Linked DNA regions of Arabidopsis thaliana. The protein of the gene in region 4 binds, or shares a complex with, the protein of the main gene of each other region. Each region holds a gene or a part of one and is shown on either strand. Other genes may lie near its edges. The genes, in order: PnsB1, PnsL1, PnsL4 and PnsB5.

Region 1 (5,887 bases), on a different chromosome or scaffold from region 4:
AAACACATTTTGACAGATAACTGGAGCGTTTTGGTACATGTTGTCAGTGGAGCGTAACGATACTTGTTGGAGATTTGCGTGTAAAGTTCAGCCAGATCCGCGACTCTGTGTTCAGATTCTGTATTGTGGGACTAAATTTGTGAGCAGTGGAGAAACTGAATGGATCAAAACAGTCCCTGAGCTTCTTAAGAGCAATTGTTCTGCTAAAGCAGATGATTCAAAGTTTAACTATGGGATATACGGTCAGGCTATATCTTCAGGCATTGTATCATCAACAACATTTTTCTCCAAGTTCTGTTATTGTCTATGGTGGGGTCTTCAAAATCTCAGGTAAGGCGGGGGCAACTCATTGTCATTGGTTCAACCGATAGCTTGTGCAGAGTACTCTTGACATCTTTGGTGTTTTCATGAACAGCACGTTAGGTCAAGGGCTGCAGACAAGTACATTTCCAGGAGAGGTTTTGTTTTCCATTGCGATTGCTATAGCTGGGCTTCTTCTTTTCGCGCTTCTCATCGGGAATATGCAGACTTATCTTCAGTCACTTACTGTTCGTCTCGAGGAAATGAGGATCAAAAGACGTGACTCAGAACAGTGGATGCATCACAGGTCACTTCCACAAAATTTGAGGGAAAGAGTCAGACGCTATGATCAATACAAATGGTTAGAGACAAGAGGTGTAGACGAAGAAAACATAGTTCAGAGTTTACCTAAGGATCTCAGAAGAGACATCAAACGCCATCTCTGTCTGAATTTAGTTAGGAGGGTAAGTTTTCACAATCAGAATGCTAAAATTGCTTGAGATACTAACTAACTATGTGTTCTGTTTCTACAGGTTCCTCTGTTTGCTAATATGGATGAAAGATTACTTGACGCAATCTGTGAGAGATTAAAGCCGAGTCTTTTCACGGAAAGCACTTACATTGTGCGTGAAGGAGACCCCGTTAACGAAATGATGTTCATAATCCGAGGCCGGTTAGAAAGTGTAACAACAGATGGGGGAAGAAGCGGTTTCTTCAACAGAGGGTTGTTAAAAGAAGGAGACTTTTGTGGTGAAGAGCTTCTGACATGGGCTCTTGACCCTAAAGCAGGCTCAAACTTACCTTCTTCCACAAGAACAGTGAAGGCTCTGACTGAAGTAGAGGCTTTCGCTCTTGAAGCTGAAGAGCTGAAGTTTGTAGCAAGTCAGTTTAGGAGACTTCATAGTCGACAGGTTCAACAAACATTTAGGTTTTACTCTCAGCAATGGAGAACTTGGGCTTCTTGCTTCATCCAAGCTGCTTGGCGTCGCTATTCAAGAAGGAAAAACGCTGAATTGAGACGGATTGAAGAAAAAGAAGAAGAATTGGGTTATGAAGATGAATATGATGATGAGAGTGACAAGAGGCCTATGGTTATCACAAGAAGTGAGTCTTCTTCTAGACTGCGTTCAACGATATTTGCATCAAGATTTGCTGCTAATGCATTGAAAGGGCACAGACTTAGGAGCTCAGAGAGTTCAAAGACCTTGATAAATCTGCAAAAGCCTCCGGAACCTGATTTTGATGCTGAATAATCCAATTCTTGATGAGAGGCCAACATCAGAACAGAGACTACATAACTGATTTATACACATAAATGCTCTATATATAGAACTTGTTTCAGAAACTGTAAAGTTATCTACACGAGAGCCAATGATCCTTCAAAGACCTGCATTGCATTTTTAACAGTTCCAATGTCGATATCTGCTAGTTTTCCAGTCTTCGAAGCAATAATTACACAGTTACTCTTCTCTTCTGCATACGGTACAAAGAGCTTCCCTTTCTCTTCTGAAGAGAACAACCCAATACTGGAAGAAAAAGAAGCACACACATGTTAGTTCTTGAAAACATTGAATCAGTACTCTTTATATTACTCAGGTATTCACCATGGTTTGTCTCGCGCATTAGCTAGTTGAATCGCAGCTGTGTTTGTTGCGATGACTCCAGCAGAATCGTTTATCAGAGCAGCCAACTAAGTAAGCTCAAGAAAAGGAATCAAAGTAAGATCAGTGAATTCAACTTTGTTCATAACAAATACAGACAGATAAGCATGCATACCTGTCCTGGTGTTGTGATGAACACTATAGATGTATCATCACCCACAAAATCTTCAACGTTTTCTCTTTCTTTCTCATGTGGAATCACAAAGACCGGCTTGAATCCCCTGGCATTGTTCACAATCATATCTCAGAGAATTTCAAACTAAGCAAAAAATTCACATTTTGAAGGTGTGTAATAATTACCTTACACCCTTTATAATCTTAGCCCATTTTTCAAGTGAAAGTAAACTATCAGCATCTCCTTTTGATTGCATTGATGCCTTAGAATCTGATTCAATACCATGAATCACTATAAACTTCCCCGTCACTGCTCCAGCATTCCTATACTTTGCAGCCACAACCTCTTTCACTTTCCGTGAAATCGATACCCTAAGTGGCAACAGAGGAGTCCTTGGAACACTCCTAAACGGTCTTCCTAACCAATCTTCCATCTGAGTATACCTGAAACCATCAACAGTCAATTTAGACAGGCGATAAAAAAACCTGCAGTTTCTTCGGTTTCAAGGAACTCACATGCTATAACCTAATTCTGAAAGGTTGGTATTTTCTGCTGTAAAGGTCTCGGACAGCATCAGACCAGCTCCTGCAGAGTTAACATTCGGGTAAATGTAACTAACCCTGTCTCGAGCCGTTGTCATGAACAAGAACGCTGCGTGGCCTAACCCTGCTAGCTTCGTGGACAGAACCATGTCATAGTACCTTCCCTGAAACATGACTTAAAAGAAAAGTTAACTAAGCAGTCTGATAAAGGAAAGATAGAAAAAACGTTGAAATATTTGAAAGTTACAAACTTTGAGGAGTCCGATCATGTCTGTGTATTCAGCTGGTTCAGGCCAATGATCATCCGGATCATACACATTGGCCCATCTCACGTTTTTGTTTAGCTCGTATGTTTGTTTTCCTCTTTCAGTCGTTAATATATCTACCTGAACACCAGGATACCTTACAAAACAACAGAAACGTACGGACAATGTTCTGCATTTCAGTTTAAGGTTTTAAAAAAATGTCGAATCGGAGACAGAGTCTTATACTTTTATTACCTGTCTTTGATTAGCTGAATAGTCGGGAAAAAGAGTAGATTCTCGTAAACGCCACCGGAGATAACGCAGCAACATCGTCTAACATCTCCTCTGATTTTCAACGGTAAAGAAGCAAGCTCGACGGTGTAACCCTTTGGAAACTTCAAGAAGCCGTAAGGGTTATCAGGATTATCCGGTGGTCTTGGATCCTCGTCTTGTTTTCCGTCGGCAAACAAGGACCCGTATTCGTTATCCGGGTCTTCACCGCTATCAAACGGGTCGAGCCACGGATTATTCTTCTTCTTGAGATTGACCGATACATCGGAAGATCTCGACGTAAGACGAGTTTGAAAGTTGAGGAAGACGAGTGGTTTGGAGGTAGAAAACGGCGGCGTTTTAAAGAATGGGGAAATGGGTTTGGGTAACAGAGGAAGTGAAGAAGCCATTGGAAGGTTTTTTTGAGCCAAAGAAAGAAAAGTTTGGATTTTTAAATGTTGTGAAAGAAAACAGATCTCTGTAGGAACTTAGGATAAGTGGGTCCCTTTTGTGGCAATTTTCCGACCATAGAAGAAAACTTAGCATTTAATTTATTTATTTTGGTTATGGCAATTCCAGAAATTATTCTCTGTTCGATTAATTAAAACTTTTGTCTTTACATTGGTTGATACGCACGAGCAAAGAAACATTCCTAATCTCAGAACTCAGAAGCATTAACCAACTGATTACAGTAAGCAATTAAACCATTTAACTTGTCGGGTCGAGCAATAAGGACCCGTTTCATTGTCGGGTCGAGGAACAAAAGAACAGAAAAAGCAGAAGAACCAAACGATGACGTGTTAAGTCGTGACTGGTGAATGACCTTTTCTCCTCGTCTCTCTCTCTCGATTTGATTCGTTTCGTCGTCGATCAGAAAAAGCTTCTTTCTTTCTTTTTTTTTTCTGGGTTTTTCTGAAGTCAAAAGCTTTTTTTTTCTTCATTGTTCAAAGATTTTATTTTGTTGCTCATTGTTTCTAACCTTGCTTTTCTCGTGAACACAGCAAGCAACTTGGTTTAGTTTTACTAGAAGATTCCTAAAAATGAGATATTTAGCGGTGACAAAAAAGTTTCATTTTTGGTGCTAATGTAGCTGTAAAGTCTAGGCCTTCCGATATATAATCTCTTGAAATAAGTTTCGAGACTGTTGGAAATAGCAATTTTGTTGTTGTTGTGTGATCCAGTGATAGATCTGTGAAATCAAAAAGCAGTTTTTTGTGAGAATCGGGTCAATGTCGGTTCCTCCTAGATTCCGGTCCGTAAATTCCGATGAGCGAGAGTTCCGATCAGTTCTTGGTCCTACCGGGAACAAGCTGCAGAGGAAACCACCGGGGATGAAACTGGAGAAGCCGATGATGGAGAAGACCATCATCGACTCAAAAGATGAGAAAGCGAAGAAACCAACTACTCCGGCTTCACCAAGGACGACTCTGAAGCAATGCTCGTCTCTTTGCTCTTCGATTTTGAGAAAGAATAGTGCTTCAATGACTGCTTCGTATTCCTCTGATGCTTCGTCTTCGTGTGAGTCATCGCCTTTGAGCGTGGCGTCTTCTTCGAGCTGTAAGAAGGTTGTGAGGCGAAGTGGGTCTGTCTCTTCTACAAGGAAGCTGAGTGTTGGGAAAGAAGAAGAGAAGGTTTCTGGTGATTGCTTCGCTGATGGTCGTAAAAGGTGTGCTTGGATCACACCTAAAGCTGGTAAGCATCAAACTTTCACCTATCACACATTGCATAGTGAGAGAGCTTTTGACTTTAGATGCATTCAAATAAATGAAATGAGTGAAAATGTGAATGTGAGATTGAGTTTAGCCTGATTGTGTGAGATGATAAAGTTCTTATCTAGTTGAATCAAATGGGACTGAATTGAGACAAGGAGCTAGTGTTTTTTGTTTGATCTAATTATGTTCTTCTGTATGTGAATATTAAGTAATTCAATGGCCAACAAAATGTTTCAATTGCTATGTATTTTATTCAGTGAGCATTGTGTAGATCATTTGCTATGTTGCATAACTTATGAAGTAGCTTGTCCTGAAGTTCTCTTATAAATATTTTAACTTCTCAGTGTCCATGAAATTTAGATGAAGGATGTTTTGATTAGCTGATAGATCCACTTCGTTTATGCTTTTAGTGTAAGCCAAACAGCGTTTTCTGGATTCTCTATACTAATGAGCATAAATGTTTCCATGCCAAGAGGCACTTTCCATTATTCTTTGTTGTTCTCTCATGCTTCATATCTTTCTCTGCTGTAAATTGACTAATAATGTTGCGTTTTTCTACGTTGTAAAGACCCGTGCTATGTTGCTTTCCATGACGAAGAATGGGGAGTTCCTGTACATGACGACAAGTATGTGGCATCCTCAACTATTTTCCTTCTATCTGAGATACACTTTGTAGTTATAAGAGTCTCTTACCGCTTGGTTAACTTGTGTAGGAAGCTTTTTGAGTTATTATGCCTCTCTGGTGCTCTAGCCGAACTCTCATGGACCGACATTCTCTCCAGAAGACATATACTCAGGTAACCAAACCAAGTTCTTTAGTAATATGAATTTTGAATTCGCAATATAAACTTCTGATGCTAAGCCAGTAGCTCTGATCTCTGATTGCCTAATTTGCTTCTTATTTGAAACAGGGAAGTTTTTATGGACTTCGATCCAGTCGCTGTAGCTGAATTGAATGACAAAAAGTTAACAGCGCCAGGTACTGCTGCCATTTCCTTACTATCAGAGGTCAAGATACGATCAATCCTCGATAACTCACGCC
Region 2 (5,674 bases), on a different chromosome or scaffold from region 4:
AAGGAAATGGGAAATTTGAAGAGACGGCGAGGGTAAAATCGGTAATTAAGAAAGATTGAGGCTAGCTACTACGACTGTTGTGGTAGTAAGACATTCCTCCACAGAGATACTTGGACCAGCCTTTAGAAGAGACGTCTCTGCTAATTATCCACGTGGCGTTCTCTCAATGGATTTGGGATCTCGCACGTGATTGGAGGAGTCATCATACACACGTGTACAGTTGAGATTCAACTGCAATTAAACGACCCCGTGACATGACATGGTTATGAGTCACATATGTGCCCTCTCAAACTCTATTATGTAGTATAAAAACTGTATTAGATACAACCGACCCAAGATATAGAAGAACCTTTGAAAAATGGTAGAAGCCAGTTCAGCTAAAGCTTTCTTCTTCACAATTATCGTAAAATATTAGACATGTAGAGCAGGCTTGTTGTTCTCTTATTGTCAAGCGTAAGTAAATGATTATTGTTTAGTTTCGTGACCAATTGGTTTGTTTTTTGGTTAGCCATTGTTCGATTTGCTTTGGTTTGGTCAAAGATTGTATGCTTTCAAGTCAAACCAAAGCTGACTAAATTTTATTCTGTAATAATTTACTTTGGAATGGCAAAACCAAAGAAAGGTCATAGACACAAGAGAAGAAGCAAATATGTTTCTTACGCCAAAAGACACGTTTGTATGGTAAGACAAAAGACACGTTTGTATGTTTCTTACGCCAATACCATTACGTTAAAAATAAACTAGTAACTTAAATTTACGCTCACTTTCTATTTGGGTTTTACATGATGATTTTGGTCAAAGGCCTATTTACAATGTTGCAAGCCCATATTATCTTTTAAGTATCTTTTTGTGCAACCAAAAGAATCAGTGATCTTATGCTCATTTTCATTTTTTTCTAATGAAATTTTTCGTCACTTATGGCTTATGCGTCCGATGGACGATTATGGTAAAAGGCCCATTTATTCAATCCAAAGCTTACTGGGTTAGATGATGATTGTGGTAAAAAGGCCCATTATAGACCCAACTAAGTATCTTAGGGTTTCAGTTTCCACTATAAAACTTGTTGCGGCGTAAGTTAGGGTTTTGAGAATCAGCGGCTTCACCTCTCCAGGTTCGTGTCTCGATTTTGCAAACTATCTCTCGAAATCGTCCTACATTTCTTTCTTCAGATTCATTACTGAGCTTCGCTTTCTGGGTTTCTATCTAAAAATTTCACAGATTTCGTGTGTGAAGAATCATTTCAAGCCATGTCTCCGGCTAAAGGTACGATCTTTTCATTGATAACCACTTGAATCTTCACTGGAACATGATGGATTTGGATCTTCTTCTACTAGACTTTAGTTTTGCTGAACCCGCTAGTATCTGGTCTCGATTAATGTTTTCTAATCATGTTTCGTTAGGTGATTAGTTTCAATATCTTCCTGATTAGCTTCAACTAAGTGAGATTAATGTAGTATCCAAATGAATTTTGTCTGTAGACGTGTTTCTGAGTATTCATGTATTGAAGTCAGATTTGTATCAAAGTATTATATGATGCTTAAACTCTCTGTTGTATGTAATTTGCAGTTGATACTACCAAGAAGGCTGATCCTAAGGCCAAGGCCTTGAAGGCGGCAAAGGCTGTGAAGTCTGGTCAAGCCTTCAAGAAGAAGGACAAAAAGATTAGGACCAAGGTCACCTTCCACAGGCCAAAGACTCTTACCAAGCCTAGAACTGGTAAGTACCCAAAAATCAGCGCTACTCCAAGGAACAAGTTGGATCACTACCAAATCCTTAAGTACCCACTCACCACTGAATCTGCGATGAAGAAGATTGAAGACAACAACACTCTTGTTTTCATTGTTGACATTCGTGCTGACAAGAAGAAGATTAAGGATGCTGTTAAGAAGATGTATGACATCCAGACCAAGAAAGTGAACACACTCATCAGGTACTTTAAAGAGTATTTTTCTATGAAGCCTTGTTGTGAGATTGATTATGTTCAATATATTTGACACTATGGTTTGGTTTTGTTACAGGCCTGATGGAACCAAGAAGGCTTACGTGAGGCTTACACCAGACTATGATGCTTTGGATGTTGCTAACAAGATCGGCATCATCTAAGTCTATCTATCTCTGCAGTTATAAAGACTATTGTGGTTTTGTCTCTTGTAGTCTCAGTTTTGCTTTTAAGATATTTATTATTACTATCATCTGGTAATTGTAGTATTTTGGAGCAAAAACGTTTTACAATACATTCATGTTGCAGTTTATTGTTGAATTCAAGTTCTATGTTTTTGACTTATCAAGATTCTCTTTTTAAAACTCACTAACTTATAAACTGTAAACATACAAATGCAGTATCTTCTCTAACCAGTAAATGATCATAAATCGATCTATCACCACATATTGTTTGCATCTTTCATTATCCTTTTATCCACATGTTGATGAATGGAGAAGTCCGAGAAATGACGAAAATCAGAAATTTCTTATCCACATAGAACACTAAGGCAATGTTCATTGATCATCAAAAGTCTTGTGAATTGTAGCCACTATGGCAGTCTCCTCACTCTCAATCCGCTGTGGTGGTTTCTCACCAACAATCTCCCACAAGGTTAATAACACTGTTCTGATTCCAGTCTCCATTTCTGAAAACTAAAAATCATTATTGTTCATTGATTCATATTTCTTACCAGACAGAAATTCTCTGTCCAAATCCATCACTCAAAGCTTGTTGTTTACTTTCATCCGGTGGTAAGGCCGACTCCTCGGAGAGTAGTAAGAAACTAAACTCTTGTGACATTTTCCTTCTCATACGTAATACATTGACTTGTGTGGATTGATTTTTATTAAAATTCAATAGCTTACCAAAAAGGCAGCGGAAACAATTGGAAGAGAAGGCAAGCTCTTGTGGGAGTAGGAACTTTAGTGGCAACTTCAATTCCAGCAACTTTGCTTCTTGCTGAAGGTAATCTGCAAAACTAAGGGTTTTGTTTTTGCCTCTCTTCTTCATTCTTTTGGGACCAAAAGCCTAATATGTTGATTCATATCATGTTTGCAGAGATACCAAAAAGCTACTCGCCTTTTGTGGATCGAGAAGACGGGTATTCTTACTATTACCCATCAGACTGGAGGGTGGGTAATGGCTTTGTTTCCATTTTTGTTGAAAGAATGAAACATAAATGAATTGAGAATATCTCTGTTCTGCCCTTACTACGTAGGAATTTGACTTCAGGGCACATGATTCAGCCTTCAAAGATAGATACTTGCAACTGCAGAATGTGCGGGTCAGGTTCATACCAACGGAGAAAAACGACATCCATGAAGTAGGTCCTATGGAAGAGGTATGTATTACACACCTTACTTTCCCTCTACCATCTATGTCATTAGAGAATTCACATTGGTTCATCATTCTTATATATGTTCATCAGGTGGTTTATGATCTAGTGAAGCATAAGTTTGCAGCACCAAACCAAGTAGCTACCATCTACGATATGAAAGAGGTCAGATGATTGTTAACATCTTAAAGAATCATCAAAGTTGTTGAGAGATTGGATCTTTATAAACAATAAGAGATGAAAATGCAGAGGGTGGAAGATGGAAAGAACTATTACACGTTTGAGTATGGACTAAGAACTCCTATCTATGCAACCACTTCCTTTGCAACAGTGGCAGTTGGAAACAGTAAGCACAGATTATAAGAATTATGAGATAGATGAGAGAAGAAATTGAGGAATAAACAAGTGTTATGACTGATTTGATGTTGCAGACAGATACTACACTCTCATAGTTGGAGCAAATGAGAGAAGGTGGAGGAAAGTGAAAAAGCAGCTTCAAGTTGTGGCCGACTCTTTGAAGATCCTTCAGATTTGACAAACACAAGAAACATCTTACTCCTATATATCTTTCTCTCTCTGTGGTTACAAAACTGTCTGTAGATAACAATTTGATATTTTCATATTCTCTATAACTCCAACGATGGTTTTGGCATTGTGAGTTAGATTCTGAGTTGGTTCAGTAATTCAATCAAACTTGCAAATAAAGTGGAAATAATGTATTTACAAAACAGACATATTTCTTCCTAGCCATTACACACTTCTCCACCTAAATCACTCACAACAACAAAAAAGCAAACCTCAGCAAATAAAATTGCCTCTAATCTTCAGTTTCAATAAACAAATCGATATACCTTAAGAGACCAATCAATGAATAAATAACACAGTCCTACTTCATTGCTTAGCCTCCTGAAAGAATAAGGGAATCTAACGTCTACAAACTCCTAAGTTGCTTACAGAAACTAACCGTGGTTGTACAACTTCTGCTCATCTGCTGTCATCCCGGACCCGATAAGCCTTTGATCAGATGCATGTCCTGTAACTACATCCAATAACGTTATCTCGTGGCATATCACATGATGGTTGGTATGTGACTGAACTAATCTCAATTAGGCACATGAGTCCAATCTCTTTTAGATCAGTTGATGTCGCCGTAGATTCTTGCCAAAATGTGGTTGCATTAAACGGACATACAATCCGTTTTTACCCGCTAAACAATCATGCGTACCTTCCTCTACTATTTTGCCTCCATTGAGAACCACAATGTTATCCACATGTCTCATCATCGCTACTCTATGCGCTATCAGAATTGTTGTTTTGTTCCCCATTATCAATGTATCAAGAGCTTCCTGCACAACACGGCTCGACTCGGATTCGATAGATGAACTCGCTTCGTCAATCAACAGTATTGGAGCATTCTTCAGCACTACCCGAGCTATAGCGATTCTCTGTTTTTGTCCTTGGGTAAGCTCAACACCTCTCATCCCGATATGTGTGTCGTATCCGTGAGGTAAGCTGCTGATGAAATGGTGGGCATTTGCAATCCTTGCTGCTTCCTTCATCTCAGCTTCACTTGCATTGTGCCTTGCGTATATAATGTTTTCTCTGATCGTTGTGGAAAAGATTATGGGTTCCTGTTGAATCAGACCCATATGGCTTCTTAACCATCTCAAATTATATGACTTCAAGTCTCGCCCATCTAATAAGACCTGACCAGCAACTGGGTCGTAGTATCTCTCGATCAACGATATTATTGTGCTCTTTCCAGAACCAGAAACACCAACCACAGCTACTGTTTGTCCGCCATTGACTTTGAGACTGAAGTTGCTTAGTACTAACACTTCCGGGCGGGTTGGGTAGCAGAAGTCGATGTTTTTCAGTTCAATGCTTCCATACACGTTAGGCGGACTAAGAGCCGAGGTATCATCAGGTTCGATTGTAGGAACTCGATCTATTATTTCAAAAACTGAAGCGAGAGATCTACGGCGCTTGAGAATGTAAGGTGCTAATCCGAATGGCTCCACAAGAGCAAATGTAGCAAAGGAGAAGACCATGTACTCGGTTAGAGCTGTAGACAATTTCATATATCTGCGGTCTACTGATAACGCGGTGTACCACAGGAGGAGCGCATTACAGGCGAAGAGAAGAAACTGTGAGAAGCCAAACGCAAAGCCAATAGCCATCCCATGGAAAAAGCTCTGCCTGAGTATCCGTTGGAGTTGCAGTCTGTAGAGTTCCATCACCTTGTTGCCGGCACAGAACGCGACAACAGTATATATGTTTCTGACAGCATCCTCGAGTACTAAGGACGCCTTTCGATGCATCTCCTGGATGCCCTTTGAGAATCCAGCAAGCCAAAG
Region 3 (5,600 bases), on a different chromosome or scaffold from region 4:
GACGGGGAAGAAAGCCGAGATATGGCCGTACGTACCGTACAACTTGGTGGCTCAGCCGTACATAGCTCAGGCTTATGATAAGAAAGCACCGCCTGGTTACGTCAGAAAAGTTGACCCAAACGTCACCACCGGGACGATGGCTGTTTACTACGATGACCCTTCTTATACTTCTTTGTTTAGTGATGATAATCCTAATGCTTGCTCTATTATGTAGTTTTTTTTTATTTATTAGATAATTTATAAAGGAATTTATATAATATATGCCGGTAATATATGCATAAATGTGGGTTATAAATTTTGGTGTTTGTTCTCTTTTAGTTCATGGTTTTGTCTTCTTTTGCATGTGCTCTTTGTTGGTGTTACAAGTGAATGTTTTATTAATATTAATATAGATCTAGTATTATATTAGCTTAATCAATTGGATATCGTAAGTAATCATTGTTTACTATCATTGGAAGATATAAGTGGAAACTAGTTAATTTTTTCTATGCTAGTTTCAAACTTACAAAACAATAACAAAGACGTTTGTTTTTGGTTAAGGTGTTTCATGGTCTTTTAATTTGAGTTTAGTTTTTTGGGACCCCAATATTCTAACTCTTTTCACCCACTCTCTTTCTCTTTTACATACATTATTAAAAGAAAAATCCAAAAATGGATAGTAAAGATCGATCACATAAAGCTTAAAAAAACTGTGTATCATAACATACACGGGTCATGTAATCTTTCTATACATACAACTACCCCCACCATACTATATTTTAAAGGACTTATTCAACAATTTTTACTGATATGATTCTTGCTCTTCAGTCTTCAGGTGTAAACAAAGTAAGAGCATCCTCAACAATAAGCTCTTATTAAAAACCTCTTAACAACAATAACAATGATTATTTTATTATAATATTATTATATAAATAAATTTTAAGTTTAAGAAAAAAATGAACCAATGTATAAGTGACATGTGGCTTAGGTGGTTTACTTGATTATTAAAAACCTCTCTTCATTCTCTTATCTAAGAGCTCCTCTTCATTTTTTCTCTTCTTCTTTCCATGTTTTTATTTTTATATTACTAGATGAATTCCCACGCTACGCGTGGGTTTGTTTTAAAAATTCTTTAGATAAAAATATGTTAATTATTTTTGTCGCTAATTTATGTTTACTTTTTGTTTGTTATTTTATACTTAGTAAAATTAGACTCATCTTATGTACTTACATTTTTATTGTTAGATTCATTTTTGACTCTAAATATCAATTTTTATATATTTTCATGTATAATCTGATTATTTTTATATCCAAAATTCTAAAATTTGTTCATTATCATGAATACACACAATAAGAATATAAGATATTTTGATTTCAAGAGTTTTCGTATGAAAAAAAAGAAGCAAAAATTAAAGAGTTATTTTAGTAACACTTTTTAGATTTTATACTATTGCATATAGCCGTATAAGACAAATGGATTTGTTTTGAATTTTGTGGTATGTTTAACGTCTCAAAAGTCTATTACTTAAAAATATTGAATGTCAATGTTACGAACTTACCTAAAGATACAAAAATAAAAATACAGAATTTCATATGATAAGATATGAACCATAACGTAATAATAATTAAAAAATCAAGGTAAAATAACTACACTAATATTAGGTAGCAAACAAATAAACTACAACATAAACAACTATTTAGTCATTATAGAGTGATGACCATTGACCATTAAAATTTTTAAAAATAAAAAATAATAAAAGTAAAATAAAAGTAGTAATTGATTTATTTAAATAAGTAATTTTATTTATATTTATATTTTGAAAAAATCATTTAAGAAATGAATTAATGGAGGATTTAACACAATATGAGATTTTTTATTTTCTCTCAATTAATTTTGCTAATTTTAATTTAATCAATATTAAATGACACATGATATTTTCTTATGTGATGATGTGTCACCCATATGGAGAGAGTTGGCCAACTTTCATATATATGATTTCTTTAAAAACCTCATTTATCTTAGAACCCTCCATTGAGGATGGCCTAACATCAGCCTTTAAGAACCTCCGGTACGCTGTAAATTAGCTCATGCACTGTGTTTTTCCTGGAAAATCGAAAAATGAAGATTTGTCTTATGTATTTTCAACATGCTCAAGTAGGCAAGAACCAAAGTTTTACACTTTTTTTGGCCTTAAGATTCATGAGTTGTTGTGAGGGGACCAATTACAGAGATATGACACCGATGAAAAACCACATCACACAACTTTATTCTAGACTCTGTACATCTTTGTGACACAAGCTGCATCACTTACCAAGACTGAATCTAACCTAACACGCGCTTATACATTTATGCAAGTATATGATTTTCCAAGGTCATAACTTAACAAAAAGACAGATCTGCACAGAGAAGATGTGTCTTGTTCTTTAATAGGAGGTTAGACATTGGATTCAGTTGGAAATCATCAATGTTTTAGGTTACAGAAATTATAATCTGAAGCTTGTCAAAAGTAATCACCTGGTGATATACATCACATACATAGTTGTTTGTTCCTTTACCAAACGGGATTGGAGTTGGCTTCATCTTGTATTACTTCCTGGGTAGATCTCAACAAAGTTGATATCATAGAGCAAAGTTGCATTGCCAGGTATGTTGCAGTCACCTGCATAAAGAGTCGATTTATTACTCGAGATACATATCTTACATATACAAGTGAAACTGTTACAGAGGAATTGTGCAAGTACCAGAAAAGCATCCTGCAGGCTCTGGTCCATAAGCTAACTTAGGTGGAATCTGAAGTTTACGCTTTCCGCCTGCAAAATAAAACCGCACCAATATGTTATCAGCCAAATAAAGGACATTGAACAAAGGAAAATACAGTACACTTGCCTACTCGCATAGGAGGTACTCCTTCGCCTCCAAGAATCCCCTGGTCTAGTCCCCTAATTACCTGATCATTTTTGGACATCAAGAGTTTAGATATATAGTTGTTTTGCTCACCCTAATCACAAAGAAGAACATAAGAAACTAACTAACTTCAACAAAGACAAGTGTGAACTTTGCTAGCAATGCAATTGAAGACTATGGAAGCTAACAAAGAGAGAGAGAGACAATGGTTCTTTGTTGTACCTTGCCGACTCCAATTCGCATAGTAAGTGGTCTTGCACGCTTATAGCTACTGTCAAACAACGTTCCATCTGCAAACCTCGCCGTGTAATGGATCTGTGTGTGTGTGACCAACTCTCCAAAGTCTCAAACTTTGAATCAAAAACCCTAAACAGAGGAAATTAGAGAGATGGAGAGATTACATTGACGAGTACGCCACGAGGGGCTTCATCACCAAATCCAACATCGAGATCGCAAAATCCAAGTCCTGATTTTGCGTAGCTGTATTCGCAGAGAGGATCTCCTACAGTGGCGTAGTAGTCAATCCTCGTGGCGTCTGCGTCCAGAGGCGTTAGAGAGAGAATCGAAGAAGCTAGGAACCCTAAACCCACTCCGAAAACGCGTTTCTTGACGGAGAGTTTCGGCTCGCAATCGGAGGAAGAAGAACAGAGACACGAAAAGGACGAGGAAGAAGAAGAAGAAAAGAAGATGGTTGGTCTGAAGGAACGTGTATAGAGAGATTGTGTGAGTGTTAAAGTAGAAATCGCCATTCTTCTTTGAGTCTTCGTTTCGATCTCTGCTTCCTTATCTGCGTGAAGCCAGAGCCTTTGGTCTGAATCTTTTGTCTTTTGAGTGTGCAACGGTACAATGGATATGATTATGGGACCCACCCGTATTTTTTTGGATTTCTATTTTCAACAGAACAAAAATAATAATGAAACTTTTGGAGCCAATCGGCCCACAAAATTGAGAACCCGAATCGAATTATTTGGATAGTAAGATAATGGCCAGACCTAGTTATCACTCAACTATGAAACCGAGTATCATCTGAATACATAGAAAACCCATCAGTGCGACAATAGCTTGATATCATGGTCCACCATAACCACCACCATAATATTAAACCATCATCATCACCCATTATTATATATTCCATTTAGATAGAGATACACATATATGCACATTGTTGATAGTTTATGTAAGTGATGTGTATAGGTTATACAGTGCATTGGTGACTTAAGTGTAACTGGTCCGTGGACAAAAAAATATCAAAATCATTTGAACTTTTGTATACACAAGAACAAGCAAAAGATTTTTCATCAAATGTCATTATTTGTTTTGCGACCATCAATCCATCATCAAATCTTATTGTGAAAAACAAGAATTATTATTTTTAAGAGTTACTATTATACTATACAGTAGCAAATGATATTATTGAAAACCCCGCTTACAAAGAACTGACATTTCATTCTGAAGTGTTGTTAAGCTAGAGACTAGAAAGAGATATAAATTAAGCTGAATATTCTAACGATTGATTGGTTAATGAGAAGACTGAAAAAAGTTAGGAATTTTGTAGACGCATCACATTCAGAGCCGTGACAAGGTCAATGGTTGTCGGAGGCGGTCAAATGAAATTTGCCCCTATTCACAAACAAAGAGACTTATAATAATAGAAGTAAAAGTGTCTATAAAGATAAATTGTCATATGACAAAAGTAGGTCAAAACCAAAATGTATGTATAATTATCATTATTGATTACCTGTTTTTCTTTTGCTTGGGAAATTTTCAAATTTCAAATCTGTTGGTATGGTAAAATGAGAGTCAAGTCAATAAAAATTGACGTTAATGTAGATGATACACCAAAAATGAATAAGCACATGGGAGAACAGTAATTTATCAAATTTCAAATCACCACAAGTCTATAATTAATTAATAATTATATACTATGGTCCCAAAACCATATTCCACAATCCGGCGGCCGTGGAAGATTCCCCAAATTTCGCCACCATTCACTCCAATATTAATTAGGAGAAATATTAACCGTAGTGATCCCAAAACCACGTACTGTATATTGATTGTTGAAAAATTAAAATTTCATATCGCAAGTCATCGTTGTCATTAAAATTTAAAAGTTCTATATAATTATAAGAAAATATACCAAGAAAATCTGATTCAAATGGTGAGATCCATCTACTAACTAATACTTACCAACATATAGTTATGGAAAAAACTAAGATTAACAAATAACAAGCATATTAATTAAGTATTAAATAATTAACAAACCCTACACGAAAAAAGTTTTAAAGTGGTTTATACTGAAATATAGAATATATAAACGAGTAACTTCATCATGCTATATGTGCTATGTTTAATTTGTTGAGTAATCATGTCAAGAGATTAGCTTTGATTTCGGACTTGGACTATACATAAATATATTTATGTTCTCTGGTCGGAAGACGAAGATAACCAAGTACCGTCATTATTATGTTCATGATCGGAGCCACCGTAGCTTCCATTATCACCGGTGTTTATGTTCCCGTTAGCCGCTGCCGTTGTAGTAGGAGGATTAGTAGATGGAGTCTGCATCATACCAAGACCAAACTGATCGTGCTCATTGCTTCTAGGGTTTGAAATATGAGCTTGAAGAAGAGCTTGCAGATTCATATCCTCGAAACCGTTGTTAGGGTTTTGATATTGCTGAATTTGTGATCCGGATAAGAGAGGAGTCGCTGGAGTG
Region 4 (5,065 bases):
ACCAAATAATTTAATACGCGATCATTTCTCTTATATGGATATATGCAATGACAGAAGATCTAAAAGTATTGACTTAAATGATACTTTCATTTTTGCTTTCTTTTTATTTTTTCATATGAATACTCTTGAAATCTTGTTCAATTTATATTAATTCTATATATTTAATCATGAGCCTATAACAATGTTGTTGGAGTATTATATCAGGGAATACATAAACCAAAAATAGTTTATTTATAATCAAGTTAGACAATTTTCAAATCATGCAAAACACGATCATTTTTCTAATATTGATATATGCAATGACAGAAGATCTAAAAGTGTTGACTTAAATGACATTTAGTTTTTGCTATCTTTTTATTTTCTTCATACCCCTTTTTCATACGAATACTCTTCAGATCTTGTTCAGTTGAAGTCAATCAAAACTTTAATCATGAGCTTATCACAATGTTGTTGAAGTACATAAAACAAAGAATTGATTTATTTATAATCGAGTAAGATAAATTTTAAACCACACAAGTAACATGGTTACACATAATTGTATCAAAATATCATATATTGTTGTTATATGTATTTTTGATAGTGAACAAATATTAACATCTTATAAATAGCTTTATACATGAAAATTAGAAATTGATATTTCGAGTTACAAATGAATCTAACCATAAAAATTGTAAATAATATGGATCTAATTTCATTAACAATACAAAAATAAACATAAATTAGCAAAACTAACAATCAATCTAAATATTTTTTAACAATTTTCAAAACAAACCCACGCGTAGCGTGGGTACTCATCTAGTATCATAGTAAAAACTGGTATGGAACTTACGAATAGTTTGCACAATATTAAAGAAAGTGTCAGAGATACGTTAAAGCATTTTCTTGTAGAGAGACTAGGGATTAGGAGTGGAGCTGGTTTGTCACTTGATGTTCCAACTCGATAGAACTCGAAGGTGTGTTTAGCTCCTCGGACTCTTCCACAATACTGGAACACTATATTGTTGTGTTTGGACCAGGGGATGAAGTTAGCGTGTGGCATACGTCAACCTCAAATTGTATGGTTTATCCACCATTGTATGAACTAATGATGGGTATGGAAACTCGTTGGGTCCATACGAGGTACTTAGATCTTAAAAAAACATATAGTGAAGAACAGAAACCTAACACTACAAGATGAGAATCTAGGTTTTATGGTACTAAAGAAAAATAAGAGAATGAACAATCAATATTATACACATTGTACCCCGTTCATTCATCAATTTTATAAAACAGTTTACATCAAAAGTCATGATTATAACGAGATCACAATCCATTATCTTATCGTGTGGCGATATCATCTTTCTCAATGGTGAAATCCCATACATCACCATATTTGTCATTAAAGTCCCAAATGCTCATTGTGTTGTAGTCATTAATGAGCTTGTCACGAGCTCCTCTCTCCAATTTGTATATCTGAGGCTCGAAGTTGTGTGGCTGGTCAGGTTTATCCATCTCTATTATACAGAACACTACCGTGAATAACGCTGCACCTATGAACAAGTACTCACCCTGCAACACACACACACAAACACTGGTGATTCTTTTTCTTCTCATACTTGGCTTAATTATCTAATCTCTTGTACGTCCTCCACAAAACAAAAGCGATAAAACTAGTAATGATAAATTTTGGAAGCAAGCAAAAGATTTTGAAGTTACCGGAGCATCAAAATACATCCCAAGAGCTATAGCAGGAAGAAACATACAAGAGATCAAACCTGCAGACATAAAAAAACCGCGAGTTTTCAATCAATCTGCGGTACATAAAAAGCACTAAAAAGCGGGTTAAATTCATACCTTGAAACCCATTAGTTTGATCCACAGCAGCAATGTCATCAGCAATTGCTCCCCAAAATGTTCCTAAGAAACATTTCCAAGAAGACTAATCAATCAATCAAACAAAGAAATATTATAGCTCTAAAATCGAAACAGCGACAAGAATCAATAGGAGAAACCAAAATTATACCCTTTTGAACTTCTCCTTCATAGTAAGTATGAGCTCCATCGTAATATCCATACTTGAAATCTTCCTATTAACAAAAGCGCTAACCAATCAGAAACAACTTTCAGCAGAATTATGAATTTAAAATCAATTGAATCTTTACCATTTCAATGCTATTAGTCTCGAATTGACCAATCGGGTCTTCGTTGATGTCTGGTTCGATCTGTGACAATCCAGCCGCTGAGACCAGCTTCGCTAACTTCAATCTCCGGCCGGATTTGCCGCATTTTACGACATTGACGATCTGATCAGAAACCCTAGCTCCGAATTTGGAATCAGTGACCTTTGGAATCGATTTGGGTGAGAGAATCGTGACCGTTGCCATTTTTTCACTCACTTTATCTTTTTCTTGCTCTGTCTCAGAGTTTTGGAGCCATAGAAAGAAAAAACGGTTCTTTTTTTTTTTGTGTGTTCGTTAGCGAAAGAGATTAGTAGTTTACTGGTTACTGTCTGTCATATTACCAAAGTGACTGACAAGTTCGTAAGCGTCACGTGGAACGTATTCATTTGATTGTCTTCTCTAGTTGGTTAGTGAACGCTTACATCGCGTGAAGACTATTGAAACGGCCCAACTTTGTCTTTGCTGAAATCAACAATATATATTAAGCCCAATTTGATTTACGTGACAATTGCTTAATTATTAAATTCAACCCAATATTTTCCTATATCCAGTTAAATGTAAAATTCAGTTCAGGTTAAACATCATAATACTTTGCATATTTTTAATAAGGAAAAAGCAAAACAAAAAAATAATGTATTAGCCGATTTATCGAATGCCTAAACAAGAAAGATCAATAACATTCTATGGACCAATTTGTTGAATCGTACAAAATGGTTTTGTTTGTCTAGACGCCTAAACAACCTGTTTTTAGAACTTTGTAAAGGATCTATGTAGTTGGCTTTGCTATGTTCGAATTAGTAACAAGGTCAAGGCACTTCATTGATTTAGGAGACAATGACATAAGAATCATAAAGAAATGATTCCCAACTGCAACTAATAAAGGCTGGAGTGGTTGGAGAGTAGGGTAAATTAAATGCTTTGCTCTTTCTTTGATTAATGGTTACCAATATCATGTCATGTTCTAGGGTAAAATTATTATAAACCAATTTCTCTATCATTTTACTAATGAATAGAATATCAATTTATCTCAACTACTTAGAATCAAATCTCACCCAAATTTAAACGCAACAAATATAAATTAAGATTTGGGGTTTAGGTGGATGGATTGCTACGAAGTACAAACATTTTTGATGTGGAAACTAGAATAACAAATAAAAGTCGGCCAAATTTTCAACGACAAATACATTAATGTTTTAATTTATGGACTATTGCGGTTAGGTACTTGTTATCCACTTATCTTCTTAATTCATCGAAGATATTAGCTTAATGATTTGTAATCCATGTGACATGCACTTACACATGTAGTGTTTATTGAATTATTATTATTTTTTTGTTGAAAGGTTTAGTGTCTAATGAAATGCAAATATATATTTGATTCCGATAGTTGAAATCAACACTAGTTAAGCTCCTTTTTTCTTCAATATTATCTATAGAAAATATGTACCATAATTTGCTTGAAGAATTTGAGATATCTTACCGATATAACTAAAGGTGCAGAGAGATTAAAAATCATAATTCATTTTGGAAATATTTTTTTTCTAAAGAACTCATTTTGGAACACACTTTTCTACCAACTACGAAAAAAAATTCAAACTGGTTTTGTTTATTTAAGATTTAAGAATGACTTGAAAAGGTAGAATTTGTAAAACCAATGAAGAAGAAAGAATTGTGGAGTGGTAGAGAATGGTTTCTTCAAACTTCTAAGAATAATTGTTGAACGTAATTGCTTCGTTTGGTAGGAATTTTCTTAGCAATTAGAATCAGTTCTATGTTATATAACAAACATATATTTTTGCATTACTTACCACACAAACTCTCCCCAAATTGTGTGTTGACACATACCAAATGATGATATAAATACAAAACTTATCACGCACGCGTTAAAGATTCACACGCATGTTATTGACTTGTGAAAATCTCACAAGTAGTTAGTACACATGAAACGATAGTTTAGTTTTGGGTTATGAACTTATGATATGAGTTAATGGCATCATTTTTTTTTTTTTTTTTTTAACACGAACTTCATTTTTATTACTTAGGAAACGTAGTCTGAAAACAGAGCATTTGAGATACACAATGGGATAAAGCTATGAACTATGTATGAAGACAGAGCATGTTTCTGGTTTTTCGCTAAAATATCAGCAGGTTGATTTGTTGATCTGTGTGACCACGTGAACTTGATTGCGTCAAACTTATTTCTCCAAACTTTGATTTCATGGATCCAATTGATAGCATCAAATCTTGAGCCTCTTCCATTCAGAACATTGACTAGGAGCTTGCAGTCGCCTTCAAGTATTACTTTTCTAAAGCCTCTTATCCATAATTGTTGCATGGTAAGAATTAGGCTTTGACATTCTGCTTCAAAGGCTGAGGAAACGGTCGCACCTGTCGCTTGAGCAGCCCCTTTGAACACGCCGTTATCATCTCTAATTATCCAAGCTGCCGTAGAGCCACGAACTCGATTCACAAAGCTGCCATCGTAATTACACTTAATCCATCCCATATGTGGTTTTTGCCACTGACTCTGAAACTGCCTAGTTGTGCCATTAGTCGTACTCGGAGTGGGAACTTGCGCACATAAGCCATTTGTGATCCATTCTTCCGCTTCATTTGTAGCATCTCTGATATCTCTCCACCAATCGTTCTGTTTTCGTTGGAACACTAGCTTATTACGGCTTTTCCATATTCTCCAAAGGATCGAGATAGGTAGCTGCCCTTGCATTGTATGTTGTCCTGCATTTTTATGAAATTCATAAATCTCTTTAATTTTTGTTTCATAATGCACCTGGGGATTTGATAGACTCGGAAGGGGAATGTTCGAAGCTCTCCATATTTGGCGAGCGTGTGGACACGTAAAGAACAAATGATCCGTAGTTTCTCTCGTTATGACACATCTACGACAAAAA

What was found.
Region 1: PnsB5 (region 4) and PnsB1 share a complex: the UniProt entries of both Arabidopsis thaliana proteins name them as parts of the chloroplast NDH complex.
Region 2: PnsB5 (region 4) and PnsL1 share a complex: the UniProt entries of both Arabidopsis thaliana proteins name them as parts of the chloroplast NDH complex.
Region 3: PnsB5 (region 4) and PnsL4 share a complex: the UniProt entries of both Arabidopsis thaliana proteins name them as parts of the chloroplast NDH complex.

What each region holds. Positions count from the first base shown.
Region 1 is NC_003070.9:5,486,970-5,492,856, reverse strand, and holds PnsB1 (NDH-dependent cyclic electron flow 1), read right to left. Parts: upstream 3,713-5,887; 5' UTR 3,544-3,712; coding exon 3,119-3,543; intron 3,021-3,118; coding exon 2,870-3,020; intron 2,783-2,869; coding exon 2,592-2,782; intron 2,520-2,591; coding exon 2,262-2,519; intron 2,183-2,261; coding exon 2,077-2,182; intron 1,991-2,076; coding exon 1,905-1,990; intron 1,827-1,904; coding exon 1,658-1,826; 3' UTR 1,554-1,657; downstream 1-1,553. Other genes in the region: CNGC7 (cyclic nucleotide gated channel 7), read left to right, coding at 17-330, 416-764, 834-1,553; AT1G15970 (DNA glycosylase superfamily protein), read left to right, coding at 4,363-4,825, 5,414-5,471, 5,559-5,642, 5,757-5,887. UniProt on the Arabidopsis thaliana protein: NDH shuttles electrons from NAD(P)H:plastoquinone, via FMN and iron-sulfur (Fe-S) centers, to quinones in the photosynthetic chain and possibly in a chloroplast respiratory chain.
Region 2 is NC_003071.7:16,473,802-16,479,475, forward strand, and holds PnsL1 (PsbP-like protein 2), read left to right. Parts: upstream 1-2,396; 5' UTR 2,397-2,533; coding exon 2,534-2,593; intron 2,594-2,675; coding exon 2,676-2,757; intron 2,758-2,842; coding exon 2,843-2,947; intron 2,948-3,040; coding exon 3,041-3,114; intron 3,115-3,200; coding exon 3,201-3,323; intron 3,324-3,410; coding exon 3,411-3,482; intron 3,483-3,566; coding exon 3,567-3,663; intron 3,664-3,748; coding exon 3,749-3,852; 3' UTR 3,853-4,042; downstream 4,043-5,674. Other genes in the region: RPL23AA (ribosomal protein L23AA), read left to right, coding at 1,248-1,263, 1,567-1,930, 2,019-2,103; ABCB6 (P-glycoprotein 6), read right to left, coding at 4,448-5,674. UniProt on the Arabidopsis thaliana protein: NDH shuttles electrons from NAD(P)H:plastoquinone, via FMN and iron-sulfur (Fe-S) centers, to quinones in the photosynthetic chain and possibly in a chloroplast respiratory chain.
Region 3 is NC_003075.7:18,424,693-18,430,292, forward strand, and holds PnsL4 (FK506-binding protein 16-2), read right to left. Parts: upstream 3,887-5,600; 5' UTR 3,634-3,886; coding exon 3,286-3,633; intron 3,200-3,285; coding exon 3,107-3,199; intron 2,928-3,106; coding exon 2,867-2,927; intron 2,791-2,866; coding exon 2,722-2,790; intron 2,640-2,721; coding exon 2,557-2,639; 3' UTR 2,065-2,556; downstream 1-2,064. Other genes in the region: AT4G39700 (Heavy metal transport/detoxification superfamily protein), read left to right, coding at 1-214; AT4G39720 (VQ motif-containing protein), read right to left, coding at 4,488-4,504, 4,623-4,661, 5,338-5,600. UniProt on the Arabidopsis thaliana protein: NDH shuttles electrons from NAD(P)H:plastoquinone, via FMN and iron-sulfur (Fe-S) centers, to quinones in the photosynthetic chain and possibly in a chloroplast respiratory chain.
Region 4 is NC_003076.8:17,578,783-17,583,847, forward strand, and holds PnsB5 (NAD(P)H dehydrogenase 18), read right to left. Parts: upstream 2,494-5,065; 5' UTR 2,364-2,493; coding exon 2,142-2,363; intron 2,067-2,141; coding exon 2,003-2,066; intron 1,897-2,002; coding exon 1,834-1,896; intron 1,755-1,833; coding exon 1,696-1,754; intron 1,549-1,695; coding exon 1,318-1,548; 3' UTR 1,085-1,317; downstream 1-1,084. Other genes in the region: AT5G43755 (non-LTR retrolelement reverse transcriptase-like protein), read right to left, coding at 4,195-4,445, 4,545-4,778, 4,945-4,990. UniProt on the Arabidopsis thaliana protein: NDH shuttles electrons from NAD(P)H:plastoquinone, via FMN and iron-sulfur (Fe-S) centers, to quinones in the photosynthetic chain and possibly in a chloroplast respiratory chain.